Linked DNA regions of Arabidopsis thaliana. The protein of the gene in region 1 interacts with the protein of each later gene in a pairwise test. Each region holds a gene or a part of one and is shown in the gene's direction. Other genes may lie near its edges. The genes, in order: AGL12, AT5G11340, ATAF2 and TRY.

Region 1 (6,623 bases):
ATGAACTTTAAACTTGAGGCTGATTTTTTTTCCGTTGAGTTTTGGGAAATAAGAATTAATAGTTGAAAGTTTGGAATTACTTTGGATTAAAATATGAAAGTTTAGTTGGTTTCTTATTGTAAGATCCATATATTCGAAGAAATAATTGGTTAGAATGTCTAACAATACTAGTTAGATTTTTCTAGCATATATCAATTAATTCATATATTAATGTTATCTAAAGAAACCCACTTTCTCAGATCGCAATGCACATAAGCTCATAGTTAAATTAAAAGCATGCATTAGGATAAATAATATACAAAGAAATAAATAAATTTTAGGGAGTGGAGAATCAAAAGAAACTTTATGCCCCTAAAAGACATGAAAATCAAACAAGTGTCAATCATAGATACGATCTTGATCGAGCCAATGAGCGCAAAGATGCGAGGAAAAAGAAGCAACAGATCGATCACACACTTTTTGCGTTTTGCATGTTTGATGCATTTTGATTTGACAAAGATTCTTTATTTACTTCCTTCTTCCTTACTTAAGCTGACCCTCTTTCTTAAAGTTTAAACTGTTTTTAGAACGATCAATCATTTCAATTTTGGAAGCATCGAAATCAAAATGTCCAAAATACATATTTTGACAGCGAAATATTTTGACTAGATTTCAATAGTTTAGAACTTTGGTTCCACACCAGTTTATGTTGTAATGGCAAATGTAAATTATTTATAGAGGAATCCCATTCTAATACTATTTTGAATACTAACCTTGGCCTTTTCAACAAAAAAAATAAATCGAAATGTGTACAATCACCACGAAATTATCATATTTTTTAGTTATGGATTCTGTAAAGATGGATTAAATTAGTTAAAGGGAATATACTCTTACATTAGCTATATTAAAAAAAAAAAAAATTAGCTGCTAAGGGGATTTAGTCCATGGAAAATGTTATTTAATTCTAGTTTGATTAAACCTTACTTTCTTCATGGTGAAATTTAAATTTGATGATATAATCCACGCTAAAAAATACCATCGTAAAAAACGTTGCTAAAAGCTGTGTCTTTTTTTTTTTTTTTGGTAAAAGAAGCTGTGAGTCTTTTGTTATATGATGAGTTAAACCGCTCACAGAATACCAGTTAGTGACCTTAACCAAAAAAGTTCCATCGTTACAGAGTATCAATCTATGTTTCAATGTATTATGTATTTCTTTGAAATATTGATGTCGAATATAAGGTGGATTTTCTACTCAGAAATAAGAGAAAAATCCCATATTCCAAGAAAAAAGTGAGTTGAAAAACCCCGTAATGTTGAAGAAGAATAAGATTCAGGAGTTTGTTATGTAGACCAAAGGCAAAGCAAGATGGTCAAAAAAATATTTAGAAAGGAGAAAAACGACCTACTTAATCAATTAACAAGCAAAAAGGTGAAATTCAATAAATTAATACACCTAACAAAAAAAAAAGGCTACATTGGCACCTAACATGGGCAGGTCATTGGTTCTCCACCACGATGAGATGCACATGATACCCGCTTTAATATGGGCTAAGTATGCTTAATGACCATCACTTAATTGTTCTTTTTAGTTGTTAAAATGGGTTAAGAATTCCACGTCGTTAAATGTGAGAAATGTATAATTCAATACAGAATAAAAAGCTCGGACGAAAAAAAAAAAAAAAATACAGAATAAAAAGCTCACCATGGATTTTTAACATGACATAATAATGATGAGCAGTTCTATATATACCACAATGAAAATTCTTTGTAAACTTCTTTCTATTAGTCTGCTTTATATTTTCTAGTAATCGAATTTCATATTTAGACACTAAATAGAGATCATGTGAGTTTCAACTCTAGATCAAATATGGTTCGTTTTAATAATAACAAAAATATATACATATAATATATTTTGTTATTATTCGGACGGTAATTCGATAGTGTAAATACATTAAACTTTTGCTTAATCAATAGAGCAAAAACCTCCCACTTTTTTTTTTTTTTTTGATAACTTCTTGTTTATTATTAGTTGATTTTAAGATGAAATTTTATGTATTTTTAATGATTTACATCAAGTCATCAACCCAAAATAAATATATTCGATCTTTGGATCCAGTTAAAGTAAATAAGATATGAGAGGTACGTGCAGAGATATATTCAGAACTATACATTAGTAAATATAAGAGGCAAAATAAATGATGCTATGAATAAAGATGCTATGAATGTTTAACTAGGAACAGAACTAGTTTTTGTTTCATTGTTGAACTCTTATTTACTCTAAATCCTTCACATAATAACGCTTTGTTTATAAAAAATAAAACAAAGAATTCTTTTTTTAAGAAAGTGAATCGCATGCCATTTGGGAACTCAATCTTTTTTTATATATATAGTCTTGCACATATCAAATCCAGCCTCCATCTCTTGGTGTAGAATGTAAATTGTACCAAATTAGATTGTTAAATATATTTGGATATTGTAACAATAGTGCATGTCAGGTCATATGTCACATCAGATGTAACATCAATCAATCAAAAAGAAACCTAGGAAATTATACTACAAGCTAGAGGAGGAAGGGATAGTACAATACAAACCCCTTATAATAACAAAGAAAGACGGAGCTTTCGCATGTAAAGCTATATACTATTGTATGAATGCATACTTAACATATAACGTATATGAGCGCATACATATATAAGGGAAAATGAGGCTGATGTGGAAAAGGTGCTTTAAGAAGCAGTGAAGTTAGTGGGAGAATATGATAATGGAGATTATATATAAAGACAAGAAGGTGGCATGAGATTGGTAATAACTTCACAGTTGTCTCCGAAGAAACAGAGAAACCAAAGAGTTAAGTGGGGAACCTCGAAGCTAGTTCAAACTAGTGGGAGGTTGTTTCACGTTTCAACTTTCAAGTCATAAAACCAAATCCAACTCTAAACGTAAACCCAAACGTCAAATCATCAGATAGAAGGAAATATTCTGATTGAGAGATGGCTCGTGGAAAGATTCAGCTTAAGAGGATTGAGAACCCGGTTCACAGACAAGTGACTTTTTGCAAGAGGAGAACTGGTCTTCTCAAGAAGGCTAAGGAGCTCTCTGTGCTCTGTGATGCCGAGATCGGTGTTGTGATCTTCTCTCCTCAGGGCAAGCTCTTTGAGCTCGCTACTAAAGGGTACGTATTATATCATATATATATCTTAGTGTTCATATATATACATGTGACTAAAGAGTAACATATATTATATATGTAAATCTGATTATAAATTCAGAACAATGGAGGGAATGATTGATAAGTACATGAAGTGTACTGGTGGTGGTCGTGGTTCTTCTTCTGCTACTTTTACTGCTCAAGAACAACTTCAACCACCAAATCTTGTACGTCTACTTTCTCTTTCATTCTCATTAATTAGTATCTACTTTCATCGAGTTTTTCTTTATTTTTGGGATTGATTATCGTATGTGTTTGTTTTTTTAAATAGAATTTTTGGGTTGATATTAAAACTAGTGCCTCGTCGTCAGTAGTTTCACTTCTTTCCATTTCATTCTTTTAAGGGGTAGTTTAGTCTTTTTGTTCCATAAACATTATTTTAGTGTGCAACATGCTAACACGTGTTGACATGCAGAGGGAAAATCTGTTGGACGTTGTTAATTGATTTGAAATTAAAATACTCAGGGAAGTTAGGTAGGGCACCTGATTCTGATTCTATACATGAAAATAGTTAGTGAAGTACAACATTCATTGCACCTAGCTCTCCAATTCTCCGAATTTTTAATTTGTTGACTACTGAGAGGAACTGACATTGTTGTGGAACGTTGTACTATCATAAAATAGTTACGAAACAAGTCAAAGTAATTACTGTTAAAGTAAAAGATGCTTAGAGACAATGTATTACACTTTAATTAATATTTTATATCTCTGGTTATTCAATCGCATTGTGTTTCGGAATGAAGTAGTATTATTGGTTTATAATCAGCACAATCTTTTAATAAAAGTTGATCTGACCACTTTATAAAGGTTGCCCTAAGGCCTAAACTATAGTTATTGACACGCTTTGAACTATTATTTTATATATTGATGCATATACGTATTTCATGTTTGTGTGTGTGTGTACCAACATGGGTCACTATTTGTAATTCGACATCTTCAAAAAAATTCACCCGCTTTTAGATATGTTTACAAATAATGTATAGAAACATTGAAATAAAAGTTTATAATTCTCTAGGATCCGAAAGATGAGATCAACGTGCTTAAGCAAGAGATTGAGATGCTTCAGAAAGGGATAAGGTATACTGATTATTTGCATGCTATCTCCTTACTTATGGGTTATAAATTTATACATATATGAGTAAATGCATTTAAAATGGATTTCAGCTATATGTTTGGAGGAGGAGATGGGGCTATGAATCTTGAAGAACTTCTTTTGCTTGAGAAGCATCTTGAGTATTGGATTTCTCAGATTCGCTCTGCTAAGGTATGTATACATGTTTTCATGCATATATTTAGTGCAAATGTTAGGGAGAGTGAATATAAAATGATTGACTAGAAAAGCTTTTATGTAAAATTTGCAGATGGATGTTATGCTTCAAGAAATTCAGTCATTGAGGAACAAGGTAAGCAAAAAAAACAAATGTTTTTCAAAAAAAAAAAACACATTGTATATTCAGCTTTATAGCAATTATATTAAATTAATGTAAATTTTTAACAGTTTTTTTTTTTTTTTTTTTGTATTTAAAGGAAGGAGTCCTCAAAAACACCAACAAGTATCTCCTCGAAAAGGTAACAAAATCAGTTGTATGATCTCATCATAGCACAACTTATGAAACTTCTATCAGCAGAATTATCTAGTCGCACTATTCAGATGATCTTTAGAGTGTTTTGCTTAGCTATTGTCTAATGATTTATTTTGTTGGTGAATTAAATGCAGATAGAGGAAAACAACAATAGCATATTAGATGCTAACTTCGCAGTCATGGAGACAAACTATTCCTATCCGCTAACAATGCCAAGTGAAATATTTCAGTTCTAGACCATAGGGTATTTGAAGACTATGTCTCACGAATTTAAATAACCTTGGTAAGTATAATATAGTGTTGTTAAATCACACATAATTAAAATAAAGCCTGTGGAACTTCGCTAGGCAGTTGAAAATCTATCCGTATGTTTTATCCTCTTGTTTTACATTTGTTGGTGTGAAGATGAAATGACTGCAAGTGTGGTGTGTACTTATAACTCTTTCTACTTTCTATCTATGTTTTGAATTTATGGATTATTTGGTTTTGGGTTTAACTGAAGATACCTAGCCTCTTTTTGCAGTGTATATTTACAATGTTTTTTTAAATTAATAATTTTACATTGTTATCCATGATGAAAATTATAATGTCGACAACTCATACTTTATGGAAAATAGAAATTCGACACAACTAAAGCTTCTCTGATTCGATTCCATAACGTAACTGATCATGTCATGAAATTTGAAACAAATCTAGAAATGTGAAAACTTTTTGTATCTTAAGTTCTTAACATACGATGGGACTATACATTTTATTGGTTTAAAAAGACTACCATATTATTGGGTCCCGCGTATATGATGAAGTCAAAACATTAAAGTCAACCCTAAATTTAATGACATGCTAAAATCTACAACCATCATTTGTAATAGAAGAGGCTTATTTGTTGCTTTTTCTGCCCTCGTCTTCGACATAACTGGTCTTCACGATTTGACCGTGACAGCTTATTAAACGTCTTTGAGAATAACGACGATTTAAATGCAATGTTTTTATTTGGTAAGAAATGTTTTTTAATAAATCGCTTCTCCCTGGTTTACTTTCCTCTTTCGATCAAATAGTTCATCATGTACAGGAATTTTATATGTGAAAAAAAAAATACAGGAATTTTATATAATGAGCTTAATGAAATCGATTGTTTAAGTAAATGATATTTTTTTTAGTTGTGCTGGCTTGCATTTCACCAAATCAATAATTATGTCATCCTGATCATATATTTCAACTTAAATACTTTTGTTAAACTAATATTAATTATAGAATAAAAAAAGAAAAAAGAATGAATGATTGTTTTGGTGATACGGCCTAAACAGTAAACACATCATAAATTGGCACACACATTTTGTTTTGCATCTCAATTCTAAATATGTAATTTTCAAAATACACTAATTGCTAAATTTTCCGATAGCTACAATTTAAACGTTTCTCAAAAAATCTGGCTATGGAAAATGACATGTTTACAATAATGTTAAGTAATATTGTAGACAACTCACCTACCACTGATTGTGTTATTACGGTGTGGTAGAAGACGGATAAATACATTTATTACTCTTCACCAAACCCTTCTCATCTATCTATAAATCTGTCCAAATCTATTTGTCTCTTCACCCCAAAATCAACCTACAAAAGTTAAAAGTTACACCTTACTAAACACAAACAACTTCATAATGGCTTTCCACTTCCGGCGACTTTGCTTCTTCTCAGCTCTTCTTGCCGTGGTTCTCCAACTCCTTCATGGCGTCTCTGGCCAACTAGTTGTGGTTGAGGAACCTATTTCTGCTCCTCCGCCTCCGCTGGTCGACCTAAACACCGGTGATGGCATTGTGCCGGCGCTGTTTGTCTTCGGTGACTCTCTAATAGAC
Region 2 (6,714 bases), on another chromosome or scaffold:
CAAAAATATGAATATTACAATGTAGACAAAAGAATTTAGGGTCCCATGAAAACGTCATCTTGCTCTGGCCTCTTCTTCCAATTTCTCCTTCTGCATTATCCGACTCAATGCTCTTTGGAACTTTTCTGTCAGGCTTGAATTTGCCCTCAACCTCAATTTTTCTCACCATAGTTACATGACCACACTCATATATACCATATATAGACGCATGCATGTTGGACATCTGAGATAGCTTAACCATAAATTGGAGATGTACGTTAGGATTACCCTCGACATTTGTATTCAGTATGTGTGTAAGTATTCAAATAAGTCATGTACCGACATAAGTCACTGATTCATTACAATTAGATTAATTCATGGTATTTGATATTGTATTATTTGAAACCACTAAAAATAATAATTAAGAAGAGACGATGGAATCTTTTTTCCTTTTCCTTTTTTTTTTCTTCTGAAAATCTTAAACTGTTTTCACTTTTTCTACTATATTTTATCTTGCAAGGCCATGTTAAATGTGATTTTGAAAACATGATATTTTTTTACATAATATCTTATCCAAAGTATGTAGGAGCTAAAATGAGCAACATTACGTAAAATCAGCAACTCGACTCCTCTCATGTCTTTCTTTAAACATTTGTGATTTTAATTTCAATTACAATTACTGTAGTATTACTAATTTTAGTTCCTACAACTATGATGTTCTTTTTAATTGTAGTAGTAAGATAAACAAAAAATAAAAAGAAGTTTAAACGATGGTCCACACTCCACATACCACATACCACATTCTTTACTAATGCATTTTGTGCGACGCATCACATGATTCACTTAGTGTTTTTGTTTTTCTCCAGAATGAACAACTGAAAAAGGTGTATAATACATATGTATAATTGTCCCAAAATATAATAATATGTCTAAAAATAGTATCCACCAATCACCATGTAAGAATCAACGGCTTCTGCGTTGACCATTATATTTAAATATGTCAACCTGTAAATAGAAGACAAAAGCGTCTGTAGTCCAACGGTTAGGATAATTGCCTTCCAAGCAATAGACCCGGGTTCGACTCCCGGCAGACGCAATTTTTTTTTTTTCCTTCCTTTTTGACAGTGAAAACAAATTTTCTCCTGCTTTGTGGATTCTAGGGTCACAAAACTGATTTTTTTCATCATTTTTATATAACTTGTATTTGAAGTATCCATAGTTTCTACATTAACGTTCCAAACAATATGTTCAAGTCTATTAAACACACAATTATTAACATACAACATCTCTCACATCAAATATTTATCACTAGATAAGGGGAGCACAGGAAAAGAATGGCATGTTTCTCTGCTCCAAACCAAAAACGCCATCTCCAATTCCGTCATGATCCAGACCTTGCTTGATACGCCCCAAACGCCTTGCATACAAAACTTGCTCAGAAACAACAGGCAATCTTATTCTCTGATATTCCTCAAGACCCAAACTTACATTCTCAGGTCCACAGTTCTCTAAGCATTTGCCTAGCACTTCCGCATCAAGTATCGACATGTTTGTGCTTCTTAGACCATGAGGGGTCGTGGGATGAGCCGCGTCTCCAACCAACACGATGTTTCCCCAAAAGATTCGTTCTAAAGGGTCAGAGTCGTAAATAACATTAAGGAAAGGATCCTTTGTTTCACTCATGAGTCTCGCTAGTTCGGGGATCCAAATGGTTTCTGCTTCTTGATGCATCTTATTGATCATTTCTTGACTCACTTTTAGAGTAACAGAGTTGCTCTGATATCGTAATTCCATAACAACAACAAAATAGAAATCAAGAAAACTACACTTGTAGACGCATCCTAATCAAAAAGAGAGAGGAATTAGTCTTCTTACTTTCAGGTCAGGCTCTGGTTGATTGACATACCAAATCCAGTTGAGTTTCTTGTTAAAAAGCTCGTAAAACACGCTATGAGTCTGTTCACCGAGATCAAAATACAAGCATTTTCCAAGATCCGGATACACTTTCTTAATCCCACTAACTGTTTCCGAGTTCTCATTCCCTGAGAAATCAAATACACCTCTCCAAGCACAATAACCAGAGTACCTTTCACATAAAACGAAAAAAACAAAATCCTATATGATCAAGTCCACAAAATATCGATAAATGAAGATCACACTCTTATTTCAAACCTCAGTTTAAAGTCAGGCAAGAAAGTTTTCCGAATCGAAGACAAACACCCATCAGCTGCAATAAGTAAGTCTCCTTCAATTTCAACAGTTTCTTGAGTTTCCACAACTAAAGTCTTAACCTTTACATTAGATTCATCTTGTGACATTGTGAAAGACAGAAACTTATGTCCCCAAAGAAACATGGTCTGAGGCAATGCGTTATACAGAAGAGATTGAATATCTGACCAATAAGCTGCTCGGAAATCAAAATCCTCATCTCTTGTTAAAATCCTTGTCACTTTCTTCTCACTATCAGTTGTCTGATTCTACAACAAACCCACAACACACAAAAAAAGTTAAAAACTTTAGGTAGAGCTGGAAAAACTAAACGCCGATTGTTTCAATTGTCGAACTAAACTCAGTGTTCTTATTACCTGATCAATCGAGAGAGGCAAGGTGATTTCATCTAAGAGCTGTGGAGTAGTAAGCCATGATTTGATGATCTGCCGAGCCTGAGGGTCGAGTCCGAGCCCAGCACCAGTAGGACTCCCAACAGGAGGTTCGGAAGATTTCTCGAGAACCAAAACATCCCAGCATGCTAACGTGAGCGAGTGTGCGCAAGATAAGCCTGCTATACTTCCTCCTACTATGATCGCTTTCCCTTTCTTCTTCCCCATCTCATCAAATCAAATGTTTCTTCTGCTTCACAAATTGTTAACGATAAGAGAGAGTTTCAACTTAATGAAACCTCTGGGTGGATAAGAGGATTAGAACTATGTGGGATGATTCCAGGCCCAATATTCCAAGCCCAATCGTTTGGTCATATAAATAAGAAACTGATCTCTGTTGTGCGTCAAAACTATGTATTAGAATTTCATTTTGTCCAGGCCCAGAATGAATTATAGGCCCAATAGTCTATTCTCTCTCCCACGAACATTATTTATAGATTTTTGGGTTTCCCCTAAATCTCGAGCTTTTTCTTCCCTTGATTTCTTTGGTCTCTGTCCGTACGACGTCGAATATCTAGATTGTTCGACGGCGATGGGAGCTGGGAGAGAAGTCAGCGTATCGCTAGATGGAGTCAGAGACAAAAACTTGATGCAGCTTAAGATACTCAACACGGTTTTGTTCCCGGTTCGTTACAACGACAAGTACTACGCCGATGCAATCGCTGCCGGCGAATTCACCAAGCTTGGTTCGTCTTCTTCTTACTTGATTTTTCTTAATTTCTGTCTCTCTTTGCTTTCCCCAGTAATTCCTGCTTAAATTTCTTAATGGGCATGTGCTATTACGATTTCACGGGAATGTGCCTCTGAATCAGAACTAAAATTCATCGAATTTTGGTATTTTTGCTCTCAGATTTCTGTCTTTTTACCTGAGCGAGCATTAGTAGTCGAGTTTGTTCCTTTAATAGGAAAAGTTTGCTTTGGGGGGTTTATGATGAACTGTTCTGTGATTAGGCTTGGTATACTCTACAAAGAAAGTACCTTTTGCAATCCTGCTTTCCTTTGGTTGTTTGTTTAGTTGGTTCACTGGTCATTGTAATAGGTGTGATTATCTGTGTCTTCTCTTTTGTTCGGTTCCGTGAATTTATTTGACTGAGCCATGTTTTATTTAGGTTCAGTACTAGTGTCTGATACTAGGAAGAAGATGATTTTATCGGTAATATTGGTAGAAGCCTTCTTTCTAAGCCTTGAATGGATCGATTTTGTTTGCTTTCTATTGTCTGTTGTTTCGTAATTACCGATTCATGTTTGAACTTTGTGGTTGATGACATTGATGTTGACAAAGTATCATCTTGATCGTTGTTTTAAGTTGTTTGACTATATGAATACTGCATTCTTTTGTTCAACCAAGCAAAATTTTTTGTATGTTAAGCATGTGTACCTTGTAATCTATCGCTGATTGACTTATATTATCTTTCGAGAACATGGTCCAAGACTAATTTTCGTATTCACAGAATTTTTTCAAGCTCACTTTTGTGAAACCCTTGGTTGGAACATCTTTTGCGTCAACTAGTTCTTTAAATGTACAATAAGATGTGATTATGAAAGTCTAAAGACTGTTAACAACGTCTTAAATTTGGTACTAACTATTTCATTGCAGTTGCTTGGGTAGTTATGTTCTTGGTGTTACATATATTTTCTCTAATTTGTGATCAAGGAAAATTCTTCATGTTCTAATAATGGATTGACTTCCTCTCAGCATATTACAATGACATATGTGTTGGAGCTATCGCCTGTCGGCTGGAGAAGAAAGAAAGTGGGGCCATGCGAGTTTATATAATGACGCTTGGTGTTCTTGCACCCTACCGTGGGATTGGCATTGGTAAGTCATAAATCTGCTGTGCAAAACTTGAATACCGACAAAACATGAATAATGAAGAAAACTGTTAGCATGTTGTGTAATTCTGTTGTTTTCCTTACGTTTTAACACATGAGGCCAGCTGTAGTATGTTTATTCTGTAGTTCTCTATTTGAAGTGTCTCCATTTAGAGATTCAAACCACCAAGAAATAGTCCTTAGGGTTTTATGCATATCGTTGTTTTACCGAGAAACTGGAATTATGATTCCTCCTATATCAAGATTTAAGATCGAATTCCCTGCTTTAGAAAGAAAAACTCGATGTCTATAATTTGTGTATCTTGTTTTTTTCGTCTTTTGCAGGCTCAAATCTATTGAATCATGTTCTTGACATGTGCTCCAAGCAAAACATGTGTGAGATATACTTGCATGTGCAGACAAACAACGAAGACGCAATCAAGTTCTACAAGAAGTTCGGCTTTGAGATCACAGATACCATACAAAACTATTACATCAACATTGAGCCAAGAGATTGCTACGTTGTCAGCAAGTCCTTTGCTCAATCTGAAGCCAACAAATGATGAAAAATACCAAACTTGGGGAAGCCATTCCTCCCCAGTTTCTTTGTTGCATTCAGTTCAAGATCTATTAATGTTATGATGATCCTTCGGTTTCCGAGTTTTGCTTGTTTTGTTGACCTTAATTTTTCTTACTGATTCTAAATTTATAAATTCCTGGTTATATACTTGCATGATTTCTCTAATGTCCTCTTGGCTTTGGACATTTTCGTTTGGAAAAGTTTTTAACTTTGCAACTCAAAGCTTTACTACCAAGTATCATCGTGTTTGTAAATGTTGGTCTATGAATTTGAGTAAAGAGAGACAATGATTCTTGTTATGAGCTGTAGAATAAAGTAAAGAAAAAAATGAAGAATTTATGACTTGCGTTTTGGCTTGCGTGCCATTTATTCACAGTGAAGACTGGAAGATGTGTTCTTCTTGAATCAAAAAACGGCACGTCTTATGAGTCTCCGTTCATCGGTGTCTGCAATTAAGCACCGGTTCCTCGAGCTTCCTCACTCAATTCGATTGACCAATGCGGCGTTCTCGTTTTGTTGCTCAAGTTTTCTCCGACGTTACCTTCGCTGACGCCTCCACTATCTCTGCTCCAATCTTCACCATGTCTACTCGTGCTCCGGTAAATTTTCTCAGCTATTCTCTTGTTCTATCACTCCCGCTGCGTTGCTTCGGTTACTGGAATATAATTTGTTTCTTACGAAGCAGTACAGAGGTGCCCGAGGACGAGGACGAGGCCGAGGTGGGAGAAGTTTCTCCGATCGTCCGTACAATGATGACGCGGGAAGAGATCAGTTCGTTACTGGAGATTCTCATTTTCAATCAGTTCATGACGCCAATTTCCGATTCCGGCATGGTGAACCTTATCGACAACATCAGCCTCCGCTTGATCAGCGGCAGCAACCACCGTTCAATCAGAATTACGAATTTCGACCTCCGCCGCCGTCACGAGGTCAGTGGCAACAATTCCGTCAACCTAATCAGTTTCCGTCTAATCAAAACTACGCGGCTTGCCCTCCCCCTCCGTTCTATCAAAACCAGATGTCCCGGCCGCCTCCACAGCAGAGCTTTCGTCAACGGCCACGGTCAAAACCTTCAGATTACCGTGAATGGGAATATGCCAAAACGCCACCGTCTCCTGGCTCCGGTAATTTATGCGTGACCATCTCATTTGCTCCGGTATACAATTTTTGATTTGCTTTCTCTTGTCTACAGAAAAGTTTGTTGTTTTATCGTATAATATATTGGCGGATTACCTTGCAAATGATCACTGGAGAAGTCTTTACTTTCACATACCGAGGAATATGTTGAGTTGGGGATGGAGAAAGAGCAAATTAGTGTTCGAGCTTAGCCTATGGTCTGCAGATATAATGTGCCTTCAGGTTATAGTTTCTGCTATATCTTCTTGGTAATTGCTTGTATGAGGGACTAAGGAGACAAAACTTTCTTGCTTTACTATTTTTTTATCATATGTATACAGAATGTATCTTCCATATGTATAGTAATCTAAAATTATTTTGTATATGTCAGGAAGTTGATAAATTTCAGGACTTAGAGGAGGAGATGAAGCACCGGGGATATAGTGCTATTTGGAAGGTAGGTTTGTTGAAAACTTTTAGTTGTCTTGAGTTTGTATTCTCTACGGACTCTCTTGGAGTAAAGATTAAATGGTATGCATCATAAGAACTAGGCTTCAAATGTGGGGT
Region 3 (5,994 bases), on another chromosome or scaffold:
AGTTGGCTCTGAGTGACCTTTTGTTTGGAAAAGTTTTACCTCATGTCAGAAGCATTGCATCAGAATCAAATATCCATGATGCTGTGACAAAAACTGAAAGGATCGTTGCTTCTTTGTCTGGAGTATGGACTGGACCAAGTGTCACAAGAACCCACAGGTAACTTTAATCTCTTTGAACAGTAACATCAGAAAATTTGCTTTGACTCGCACACATCAAGGTTACTCATAGTCCAGGGCTGTGAAATTGAGCTTGTGATGTCGCATAGTATGTCCCATTTCAGTTATAACAATCAGTCTGCATGAAAAATTAAGCTACTGTTTTGATACGATTGCCAACGTGAGAGTGAGAAACTAAGATGTGTGTCTACATTAAAACAAAACAAAAAAAAACGGGTCTACGCACGTCCAAAGTATCATTAACCTATCTTCATTTGGTTCCCCATGATATCCACATCTCAGATTAGGACATTACCACTTTGTGTTGCAACTTTGCTTTGATGCATACTCACATGCATGTTTTATTTGATTTTTCAGTCATCTGCTGCAACCCCTTGTGGATTGTACTCTGACACTTGGAAGAATACTCGAGAAAAAGGTTTGCCTCGGGACTGGTCGATACGGAAACCACTGGTCTCGCCCGCAGGTTAAAGAAAATACTTGTTGAGCTCCATGAACATGGACACGCTGAGGAAATTGTCAGATCATTCAGTCTCTAGGAGGATGTTGATCTCCAGCTAACCGATCCGTTTTCCGTAAGGATAAAAGTTATTTAACAATGAATTCGGATTGGATGTTGATCTCCAGCTAACCGAAACCGTTTTCCGTAAGTGACCCAAAATTAAGGCCCAAACGTGACCCATTATTTCCTAAGTTGTTGTGTCGAGAAAGACAAATTGGGCCGATGTTTTTAAGTTGCGGTGACGAATTGATTGAGAGAGAGGGACAAAATGGTGTGACAAATGGATGTATTTATTTGATTTTTTTTTTTTGCAATTAGCAAGTAGTTTGGTTTTTGAAGAAACTTTGCAAGTTGTTTATTACACACGATTATAAGAGGTATGAGCTTTGAGTAAATTCGATTTAGAAACTCGGAAGGTTGGAGAAATCTATCATAAACTTATAATTCACTACTCAAACATTCCAATTAAAATGCTAGAATTAACTACAATATATGCACGGTTTCAAACGAATGTTATATAGTAAGACTTTTGTCATACGCACGCACATAAGAATAAGACAAGTAGTCATATGAATAGAGAATAGTATGTAGTATATGTGATACTAATTGTTGTTAACGATAGGTTCTAAGTTCCGACAATGAGGTCCCAAGTTGTCTCCTCCTTATCCAAATTCTCAAGTATATTCCAATGTAAATTTCTAGAAACGACAAAACATAAAGGTAATAATCCATCACCAAAACATTATATTTGCATAATTTGGGTCAAGTTCGGCAGCTATAACATCAAGCTCCACGAAGCTTCCTATTTCAATTCACACCGCGACTAAATTAACAAACAACTGCAAAAAAACTATAAAGTCGATTTCTCTCTTTATCATAAAAATTCAGATCAAGTCCAGATCCAATTGATCTGAATTTTATAATAGGAACAAATCATGCGTTACGATGTCTTTTATATATTTTCTTGTTTTCTTTTTTTGGTTTAATATTAGTGGTCATATCTTTTATTCTAGACTTGACTGTTATCATCTAAAACGACAGAAAAAAATGAAGTCGTCAGTGCACGAAAATTATTTAGCTAAAAGCCTAAAAGATGTGTATGAAATGATACGACTTATATAACTTGCATTCTTATATCGATAAAGAATCCTTATTGACAACAACAAAAAGTCATGTTTGACCACAAATATTTCGTATTATAATTAATTTGGCTACTAAGGGACTTTTAATAGTAAAAGGAAAAGACCATGATCTTATAAAACATTACGTTGAATCGATCATAATTAGTTTATAATATGATAGAAAACGTAAGTGATGATGATCATAAAACGGGGAACAAGCCCACGTCATGCTTGCATACACACCTACCTCAACTTTACATTTAAAGATTTTAAAATAGAAGAGGATTCATGGGCATTATTTGCTAGTGAATCAAACTTATGAATTATAAATTAAGTCTGTAATGAAAGCGGCTCAATGGGTACTTAATTAAGGATTAAGCTAGTGGTTAAATAGTTGTCCTTAACACATATTTTTATGTAACGGGGAAACTCAAACTAAAGCGCAAACGCTTTCTTTGCGAACTCCAATGTTTTTATTTATGTGAATGTAGTATTATTAGTCGAGAGTATTTATAATTAGTGACTATGATTGGCGATTGCAACTTTAAATGACGTCATCCATCATGACGCAAAGCTTCGCCTGAAGAAGGAAATTAATCAGCTGCGGAGATGCTCACCGTAGTTTCATCAAACTGTCCAATCACCAGTCAAAACTACAACTTCCGCCCCAAGAAATGCTGACTTATCTTCAGCAAGGTTACAATAATGTGTCAATTTCAATATCATAAAAAAGTAGTGGCTGCTGAGATTTTTCTTTTTAAATCTTAGTGGTAAATCTTAGTGGTAAGTAAAGGAACAAAAGCGATAAGCTACACTGAGAAGCAGGAGATTACGGTTTGACATATAAAGGCATTTCCATCTACGAGAAATCCACAAAATTTCTCAAACAAAAAAAATATTAATATTATATTATAATTTAATTATTTAATTAAAAAAGTATTTTTGTTAAAAAATTGAACCAATAGTAAGATGAGAATTGTCATGATGGGTTGTAAAGTATCTCAAAGTTTCTCAAGTAAGAAACTTTCTACACTCTCTTTCCCAATGGAGATGGTCTAAAGTCGGTCAACAATTCACAAAAGGTTTAAGTGACGCAAGCAATGACAACATCTAAGTCGACTATCCAATAATATTACGCCACGTATATATCCAGCTGGCTGCGGTCAGCGTAGAAAAGAAAACGGTCTGTTTTGCCGCACGTGCTTGAAAATCCCCTCGTGTCATCTCTTTTCTGTTTTTTGTGTTTTTTCAATTTAAATTAATTAAAACATTTCGGCGATTTTCGTCCTTATAAAACCTTCGTCGCCTCACTCACATATCCTCGATTACAATCTTGAGCAGACGAAGAAAACCCAAAAAAAATCCAGATCCAGCTGAAATTGAATTTTCAACCAACGAAGAAGAGATTTTTCCAAGAGCAACAGACAAGAAGAAGAGAATGAAGTCGGAGCTAAATTTACCAGCTGGGTTCCGATTCCATCCAACGGACGAGGAGCTTGTGAAATTCTACTTGTGCCGGAAATGTGCTTCCGAGCAGATCTCGGCTCCGGTTATCGCCGAGATTGATCTCTACAAGTTCAATCCTTGGGAGCTTCCAGGTACACCTATGGGCTTCTTCTAATTATTTTTCGCGAAATCATGTGTCTTCGAGAATCGTTGTTTATTGAGATGTTTGTTCTTCTTTCAGAGATGTCTCTGTACGGAGAGAAAGAGTGGTACTTCTTCTCACCTAGAGATCGGAAATACCCAAACGGTTCGCGTCCTAACCGGGCAGCAGGAACCGGTTATTGGAAAGCTACCGGAGCAGATAAACCGATTGGTAAACCGAAGACGTTGGGTATCAAGAAAGCACTCGTCTTCTACGCAGGGAAAGCTCCAAAAGGGATTAAGACCAATTGGATAATGCATGAGTATCGTCTCGCTAATGTTGATAGATCAGCTTCTGTTAACAAAAAGAACAACCTACGAGTAAGTTCTGTTTCTTATTAACTTATGTATCATCTTTTCGTGAATGATGATTTAGATTATTAACTTTGTTGTGGTGGGTTTTGCTGTACAGCTTGATGATTGGGTTTTATGTCGAATATACAACAAGAAAGGAACCATGGAGAAGTATTTCCCCGCGGATGAGAAGCCGAGGACCACGACAATGGCTGAACAGTCATCATCACCTTTTGATACATCAGACTCGACTTACCCGACATTGCAAGAGGATGATTCCAGCAGCTCAGGTGGTCACGGTCACGTGGTGTCACCGGATGTTTTGGAGGTTCAGAGCGAGCCTAAATGGGGAGAGCTTGAGGATGCTTTGGAAGCTTTTGATACTTCAATGTTTGGTAGTTCCATGGAGTTGTTGCAGCCTGACGCTTTTGTCCCTCAGTTCTTGTATCAGTCTGATTATTTCACTTCCTTCCAGGATCCGCCTGAGCAGAAACCATTCTTGAATTGGAGTTTTGCTCCACAGGGGTAAAAACGGAAGAGACCAAAAAAGGTGTTTGCTAGTAGTACTGTGATGTGCCAGAGAGAAGAGTCTCATCTCAACTCATCCCTGGCTCTTAGTAGTAAAAGAAGATTGTAGAATGTTAATAGCTTTTAGCATCAATGTCTCATTAGCAGGCACATTCTTGTTCTTTCATGAGAAGTTTATATGAAAACTAAAAATTTATATTCAAATTCTTCAAGATGTTGCACTTATGTAGATACTGATATTAAATAACAACCTAACCTTTATGAGATATCATGCTCTCCGGAAGCATTTTTTGATGAGTATCATCAGCTGAATCGAGGCGATTTCCTCACAGCTGTTATTCCTATGTCTCTGAGACTTTTGATTCTCGTTTTCTTGACCTGAGGTTTCTTTTTGGAAGACTTCTCTCTTTCCTTCTGTTCAAGCTGTGTGGAGGGTTTTTCAGATCCATTATTCCCACGAGGAGTCTTCATTTTGGGATCCTCTTTGCATAATCCTTTGCTTATACCTTCGAGTTCACATCCTGGAGATACAGAATATGGAACCACGGTTTCATCACATGAATCGATGATCTCAGAGAGCTGGCTTTGTAACTTTTGGGCAGCCTTCCACAGTTCTCTGCAGCTTTCCTGTGGATAAAGAAAAGGAGACAACAAAAAAACATTCAGAACCTGTTTTTCATCAGCTCAAAAACATATCAGTGACATGACGTAACAGGGATTTTTGTCCTCACCATTGATAAAGGCAAACGAGAAACATCATCAATTTCTGAAACAGCTTTGTTCTGCTGGTCTTTCTCTTTGCACTGTTTTAGCATTTTCCTATTTTTCCAACCCCAAAGAGAAACATGAAAATCATTAAGCTAATTCAAAGATGAATAGAAAAACAGGCAACAAAAGGGATCAGAGCTTACTCTAGAGCAATGATATTGCTGCATGCTTCGGTTTGGCACTCCCAAAGTTTTTTATATGCTTCACTCGTGACTTCCACATTTTCTTTCGTTGTGTTAGATGTTCTGCGCAGTTTTGCTTTTCTCACTATTGAGCTTGTTTCCATTGCTTCTTTACCCGACTCTTCCATCAACACATCATTCTGCTTATATAGAACAGCCACTTCATATAATTCACCTCCTCTACTGTTTGCTTCAATCCTAGCTTCATTCTCACTATTTTCTACATCTACTACTTCAACAACTCCCTCTTTCCTAGGAATTTGAACAGTCGAATCCCTTAAACCTGCTTTGAATCCATTATCTTCTGTGTCCATTACTTCAATGACGTTAATGACACAACATGCTTTACGTTTGGAGCCGGTTCGGGATTTAGTCAAACTCTGTTCTTCCAACAAAACAACCTTAGGATCCCCAGACTTCAAAATTTCAACACTTTCTTCCTTGTTTTGGCAAGTCATAACCTCATCCGCCGCACGCTGATCATTTGTTCTCACTGTTATCAGATCGCTCTTTCTCTGAACATCAGTGGAAGCAACAGTCTTCTTCTCACCCGGGAGAGAGTAACAGTCGTTGTTGCAGTCACAAAGTATCTCTCTTTTCTCCACAAGCTTAGCTAAATGATGACTAAGCAAATTCGTGTGAGCAAATGGCAAGTTCTTGTATTTCGACTTTATAAACTCAGATATAGCATCTTCACTTGCGCCACCTTCTTTATTCAAATCCATGATAGCAATAAATATCATCTGAAACAAATGTATACAGTCATAAGAACACA
Region 4 (5,607 bases), on another chromosome or scaffold:
ATGGATTCATTTTTTATTAGTATTTATTATAAATTTTAACTATGTCAAACTATGACAAATTATCAATATAAGAACAAAAACTCAATATATCAAATTCAAACATTCATACAAAAACAACAAAAAAAATTACCCTGGATGAAAACGTATCGATCCAAAAAACCAGAACAACTCACAAATACGATAGAACAAAATAGAAGAAGAAGGAATTTCACACCTCATTCGATTCGAGTCTAAAAGAAATAAACTACATCGTCTCCTCATTTCTCATAACTCTATGACCTATTAAATGTTAGTCAAATATAAATTTACTTCATATGTTGTTTGTGGATGGGGCTACTCACTCATATATAGTCATGTAGTGAAGAAACCTTATCATCTTCTAAAATATCACGTTTTCCATCTTGTTAAAAACCGCAAATACTCATATGTTGCATAAGAGTGTAAGCGGTTAAGTGAATATACTCAATTCGTATATAACGCTTTTCCAACTGAAAGCAGCAGAAACATTCATTGGACCACCTTAAATGTTGTCAACAATGTTGTTAACCAATCAAAACATCTACAGTTCAACAAGTTTTATTATTTGATTCGAGCTTTTACTTTGTGGGGTTTAAATTAATATTTTAATGACCCAGGTTTAATAAAATATAAAATACTCCTATATACATGCATGTATGGGGGCACTCGTATAATATGTGTAATCATTCGATACGTTACAAATAAATATATGTTTATTTAGGCCTAAGAATGTTAGTTGAATTGATCTACCAACAGCTGCAACCATGTTTCAAATCGGTTCAATATTTCTTTTCTTTCTCTTATAACTTTCTTATTAACTACAAAAATATTCCTTAATAGCAGTTCTTTTACGAGTAATCTATCTTCTTTTCTTGTGTAATATCAAATTTATTGTTCAACCAAAAAGAATAATTTGTACAAGAGTTTTAATTTTAATTAAAGTGGAAAGAGAAATGGATAGTGATTGCTATTATGAAAAATCTTTCTAGGAGGCAACATGTCACATCTTTGTTGTTGTTGATATAATCAAATAATAGAAAAGGTAATCACATCTTTGTCCTTTTGTACCAGAATTTTAGACATTAGTTTAGCTATGCAAACCAATTTCGTTCTTTTAGCTCCAAACTAAAGACACATTTTCATTGATGCATTCTTCGATATCGAATTGATTTGTTTATCAAAAGTTTATGAAAATCATTTATATTGCTATATTGTATTTAAGCTTCGAGTAAAGAGATATTTTACCAACTAGGCTTCCTATTAAAAAAATTCCAAATCTATCACATAATACACAGTTTCTATGCAATGAGGATGATGCGATATACATCACATGACTCGCCTCACACGATGTCTTTCGCCGTAGACTACAGATTTCTTCCGTTTAATCTTTTATCCAATTATGAATTATCTGGTAGGGTACTTTATATTTTGAAAATCTCTTTCGTGAGAATATGATAGTAATTGTATACTTTCTTACAAAATTTATTGAGAAGCGTACTTTATATATGATGTTTCTCACTCGAATTAAATACGTTAGTTTAATGGGTCGATTCAGATTTATAATAGATTTAAATATTTCGAAGAAAACGCAAATCAGGGATTTTGGTTGTATCATGTGTGAGAGATTGAATTTCTCCAGAAGCACTCATTAAATCGCGTGTGTAAGGAGTTGCCATACAGCGTCGTATGTAATGTCTTAGTCACTGTTCTAGAATTAAAACATATGTCAAATGTAGAATTAAAAAACAGGGGTTAAAATGTTAAATTATTCGGAGAAGTGGAATTATTATATTAAAAACATTGTGTGATTTTGGGATAAAATCTGAATCATGTTTTTTATTGTGCCAAAAAATTTCTGTTTCAACCTCTTCGTGGAGATGAAAGAAAAGTCAATCGGGAATGAGACTTCTTGTATAACGAATGAAAATATGAACATGTTGATTAATGAATTAATTAACATACGTACTATATTAAGTGGGAATATTAGGTATAGGCCTTCGATTTTCCGTTTTGTTTGGTTTTTTCGATTTTAATAATATTTCTCTAAATTAAAATAAATTTTAGTTTGGTTTATTTAAAATATTAATAAAATAATATAAATAACTATCTAATTAATATATTAAAAAGTATTTTCTATATATATTGATATAAATATTATTCCCATGTTTTATATTGGGTGACGTTATCTTTTAAGTAAAGTTGTAAGATATCTAACTTATTCCTACATTATAATAACTATCAAAATAAAATAACTAATTGTAGTGACAATGATGACTATCAAAATATGTATGTGTTTTGGCTCAAACATAGCGTTTAATAACAAACACAATGGACAATTTTAATAAATTTGATCGATTAGATTTTGTTTCATTTTCATGCACTAGATTAAGGTTCGAATTAGATTCATTTTAGTGTATATAGTGAAACTAATTTGTTACTATATGGAAAAAAAAATAAGTTTATTTTTGGTTCAAGAATTTTTATTCGGTACGGTTTGGTGTGTATGTCCAACCCTGAAAAAAAAACTTGAAAAACTAATAACCTAATAACAACTAATTTTCTTAGAAATACAAATTGGACTTGAATACAAAAATGGAAAGAACAACAACAAATCAATAACTAAAACATCGTTGAACTTGCATCTGCCAAATAAAAATCAATAAATCCCATTATTCTAAAAAGATAGTAGGTTTAGAAAAATTGAATAAATGGAAAAAAAAAATTGTTAGGATCTACGAATGAGAACAAAGTTAGCCTTCAAAATACTTACAAATCCCAATAAAAGACTTCATCTCCATGTGTATTTGAGTGTCAACGACAAGTCTACACAAAGGGTAAGAGGTCAACAAGACCACACAACACTTCTTACTATTAGTTTTGCAAAGGCCGTTCGTTGGACATTTCCTTCTCTCTCCTCCCCTCTTCTTCTTCTTGTTCGCTCTATAAACTCTCATCTCTCACGTCTTTTTTTCCTTACATTCTCCAAACTCAAAATTTCATCACATTAATTTCTCTCTATTTTTCTTTTCTTACTTCAATAGTAATGGATAACACTGACCGTCGTCGCCGTCGTAAGCAACACAAAATCGCCCTCCATGACTCTGAAGGTACCTCTCTATTCTCTATATATTTTCTATTTCCTAAATCCAATTTTATTAAACATCTTGAAAATAAATTTAGTTCCTAGCTAGGATCATATTCTCTTTGTATATATTCGTTAAAACGAGGGATACGTTTAATTACTTCTAAATTAGTTACACCTCGTGCTGACTAAAAGACTTATCAAGATTAGTTTCTAGTTTTAACAAAAATTAATATCTTTTTAAAAAGTTTATATTTGTCTTTTTTTGTTAGTTTAATATTGTTTTGAGTTTAATTGGTTTAATATTGTTATTTGCAGAAGTGAGCAGTATCGAATGGGAGTTTATCAACATGACTGAACAAGAAGAAGATCTCATCTTTCGAATGTACAGACTTGTCGGTGATAGGTAACAATTTCTTCTTCTTCTACTTTTTCTAAGATTATCCCAGCATAAAATAAATTTTATATTTTAGACATGTCTAGCTAAAACAATTTAATATGCAGGTATATACAATTTTACATACGTTAATTTAAGCATATGTACTTTATAACATATGTACAGTGTACCATGTTGTAGGGGAAGCACATGGTGTCCACTAATTTTCTAAAAAAAGACATTTAATTAAAGCTATCACGTTCATTAAATTATATATGTACACACATATATATAGAGATAAAAATAAGAACCTAATTTACTATTCTTATCAGTACGTACTCATGTATATAAATGCTTGGCTGGCTCAAAAATGGAAATTTTTGAACTGACAAATTATATTTTATTATGAAAATATAAATGCTAATGCTTGGGATAAAAATGTTTTTTTTTTTCTTTTGAATTAGGTGGGATTTGATAGCAGGAAGAGTTCCTGGAAGACAACCAGAGGAGATAGAGAGATATTGGATAATGAGAAACAGTGAAGGCTTTGCTGATAAACGACGCCAGCTTCACTCATCTTCCCACAAACATACCAAGCCTCACCGTCCTCGCTTTTCTATCTATCCTTCCTAGTGTTTTTGTTTTTAAGCCAACGAAAAAAGAAAATAAAAAAATTATAATAGATGTATAGTAGTGGTTCTTGTTAGTTTGAAGAATTCATCATCTATTGTTTTCTTTTTGTTGTTATTTCATTTATAATTTTTATAGTATAGGTTTCATTTGGTAATCAACTTTAATCCATGCGGTTAGGTTTTTTTATTTTCTCGTCTACGACTTTTATATCCACAACTAGATTTTAATCCGCGGTATATCGCGGTATAATTTACTTTTTAAAGTTAATATATATTAAAACTTGCAAATTTTATTTTTATAAAATATTTTTATTTTACAGTTTATAATTGTTATTAAGTAACGCTATACAACGAATCCATGAGACAATTGTTAAAAAACTGAAGTTTTAACCCTTACTAAAACAGCATATTAATAATATTTTAAAAATTTATAAATATTGATTCAAATACATCCACCATATAACTCAATTCCAAAATAAAATCTGTTCTGTAATTTCTTTACCCATCCCGTGATTTATTTTTAAAGTAGTAATTTTAAAAATTTGAGAATTATTTATTACATATAAAAGTTTTACAAATTGTATCATTCTCTAATACATTTATATTTTATAGTTTAATTTTATATATAGTAACATTTTATATTTTATATTCTCTAATATATTTTATATTCTCTAATACATCAGTAATTAGAAAGTAAAAAAAATTGTGTATTAGATTTAGTCCTTTGAAAGAACTTATCAAGAGGAAACTGATCATTTGTGCAAAAATGGTTGGGTAATATTTTAACTAATGACAATAATTTTAAATAGTAAAAAAAAAAAAAGAAATACTCCATTAGTTATAGTTGACTAGTATATTTTGAAGAAACTACTTAAAAAAATTATTACAGAATTAATGACATAATGTATCTATACTTTAAAAAAAATGTAACTAAAATAAAAACCCCGATCCAATTCTAACCAAAAGTTATGAACACTTATTTTCACAATCACTTAAATATTAGGTGTTACATGCTTGCACTAGCTATATATATGTAGGACTATGAAGTATGAAGTATGAACTTAATTTTTCTATAAACGTTTTAAGAAATAAAGAATCTATATATAGTATTGCCTTTCATACAAAAAATTATCAGTTTGAAAACTTTCTACCAACACGATAAAAAGTACTATATGAGATCATCCTAAACGTCTATTTAAAAAACGTGATTCTCATTGGTAAACGACTAATGAACGGACGGTTTGCGTCTAAAACTAACTTTTCATGGACAGGATTTAACGGATAGAATTTTCCATTATATGATTTTCATGATTACGAACCAAACGATTCAATTCTTCAGCTATATGTCGTTTCACATAAACTCACAAATCACAATCTTAGTTAAAGCTTTTAGGCCCAATAGTGTCCCAATTATTTTAGCCCATTATTTAACAAGGTACGACAGATTATCAACGTCACTCGACCAATACAAGTAAAGGTAAAACTATGGGCCGATAAAA

What was found.
Region 2: the proteins of AGL12 (region 1) and AT5G11340 interact in a two-hybrid assay, tested with the Arabidopsis thaliana proteins (one large-scale study listed by BioGRID).
Region 3: the proteins of AGL12 (region 1) and ATAF2 interact in a two-hybrid assay, tested with the Arabidopsis thaliana proteins (one large-scale study listed by BioGRID).
Region 4: the proteins of AGL12 (region 1) and TRY interact in a two-hybrid assay, tested with the Arabidopsis thaliana proteins (one large-scale study listed by BioGRID).

Annotation. Positions count from the first base shown.
Region 1 is NC_003070.9:26,951,286-26,957,908, reverse strand, and holds AGL12 (AGAMOUS-like 12), read left to right. Parts: upstream 1-2,781; 5' UTR 2,782-2,969; coding exon 2,970-3,151; intron 3,152-3,248; coding exon 3,249-3,354; intron 3,355-4,202; coding exon 4,203-4,264; intron 4,265-4,351; coding exon 4,352-4,451; intron 4,452-4,548; coding exon 4,549-4,590; intron 4,591-4,714; coding exon 4,715-4,756; intron 4,757-4,904; coding exon 4,905-5,006; 3' UTR 5,007-5,364; downstream 5,365-6,623. Other genes in the region: AT1G71691 (GDSL-like Lipase/Acylhydrolase superfamily protein), read left to right, coding at 6,429-6,623. UniProt on the Arabidopsis thaliana protein: Probable transcription activator that regulates root development by controlling cell proliferation in root meristem. May mediate responses to auxin in the root. May act as promoter of the flowering transition through up-regulation of SOC, FT and LFY.
Region 2 is NC_003076.8:3,616,055-3,622,768, forward strand, and holds AT5G11340 (Acyl-CoA N-acyltransferases (NAT) superfamily protein), read left to right. Parts: upstream 1-3,097; 5' UTR 3,098-3,171; coding exon 3,172-3,325; intron 3,326-4,335; coding exon 4,336-4,458; intron 4,459-4,796; coding exon 4,797-5,014; 3' UTR 5,015-5,457; downstream 5,458-6,714. Other genes in the region: AT5G11330 (FAD/NAD(P)-binding oxidoreductase family protein), read right to left, coding at 1,288-1,755, 1,855-2,065, 2,152-2,456, 2,565-2,807; AT5G11350 (DNAse I-like superfamily protein), read left to right, coding at 5,529-5,630, 5,714-6,155, 6,224-6,390, 6,539-6,604.
Region 3 is NC_003076.8:2,857,389-2,863,382, reverse strand, and holds ATAF2 (NAC (No Apical Meristem) domain transcriptional regulator superfamily protein), read left to right. Parts: upstream 1-2,824; 5' UTR 2,825-3,238; coding exon 3,239-3,398; intron 3,399-3,487; coding exon 3,488-3,768; intron 3,769-3,859; coding exon 3,860-4,270; 3' UTR 4,271-4,534; downstream 4,535-5,994. Other genes in the region: AT5G09210 (GC-rich sequence DNA-binding factor-like protein), read left to right, coding at 1-157, 535-664; AT5G08780 (winged-helix DNA-binding transcription factor family protein), read right to left, coding at 4,573-4,896, 5,001-5,088, 5,181-5,962.
Region 4 is NC_003076.8:21,579,852-21,585,458, forward strand, and holds TRY (Homeodomain-like superfamily protein), read left to right. Parts: upstream 1-2,762; 5' UTR 2,763-3,061; coding exon 3,062-3,125; intron 3,126-3,418; coding exon 3,419-3,506; intron 3,507-3,940; coding exon 3,941-4,109; 3' UTR 4,110-4,392; downstream 4,393-5,607. UniProt on the Arabidopsis thaliana protein: Transcription factor. Involved in epidermal cell fate specification. Negative regulator of trichome development, including endoreplication, by lateral inhibition involving intercellular interactions.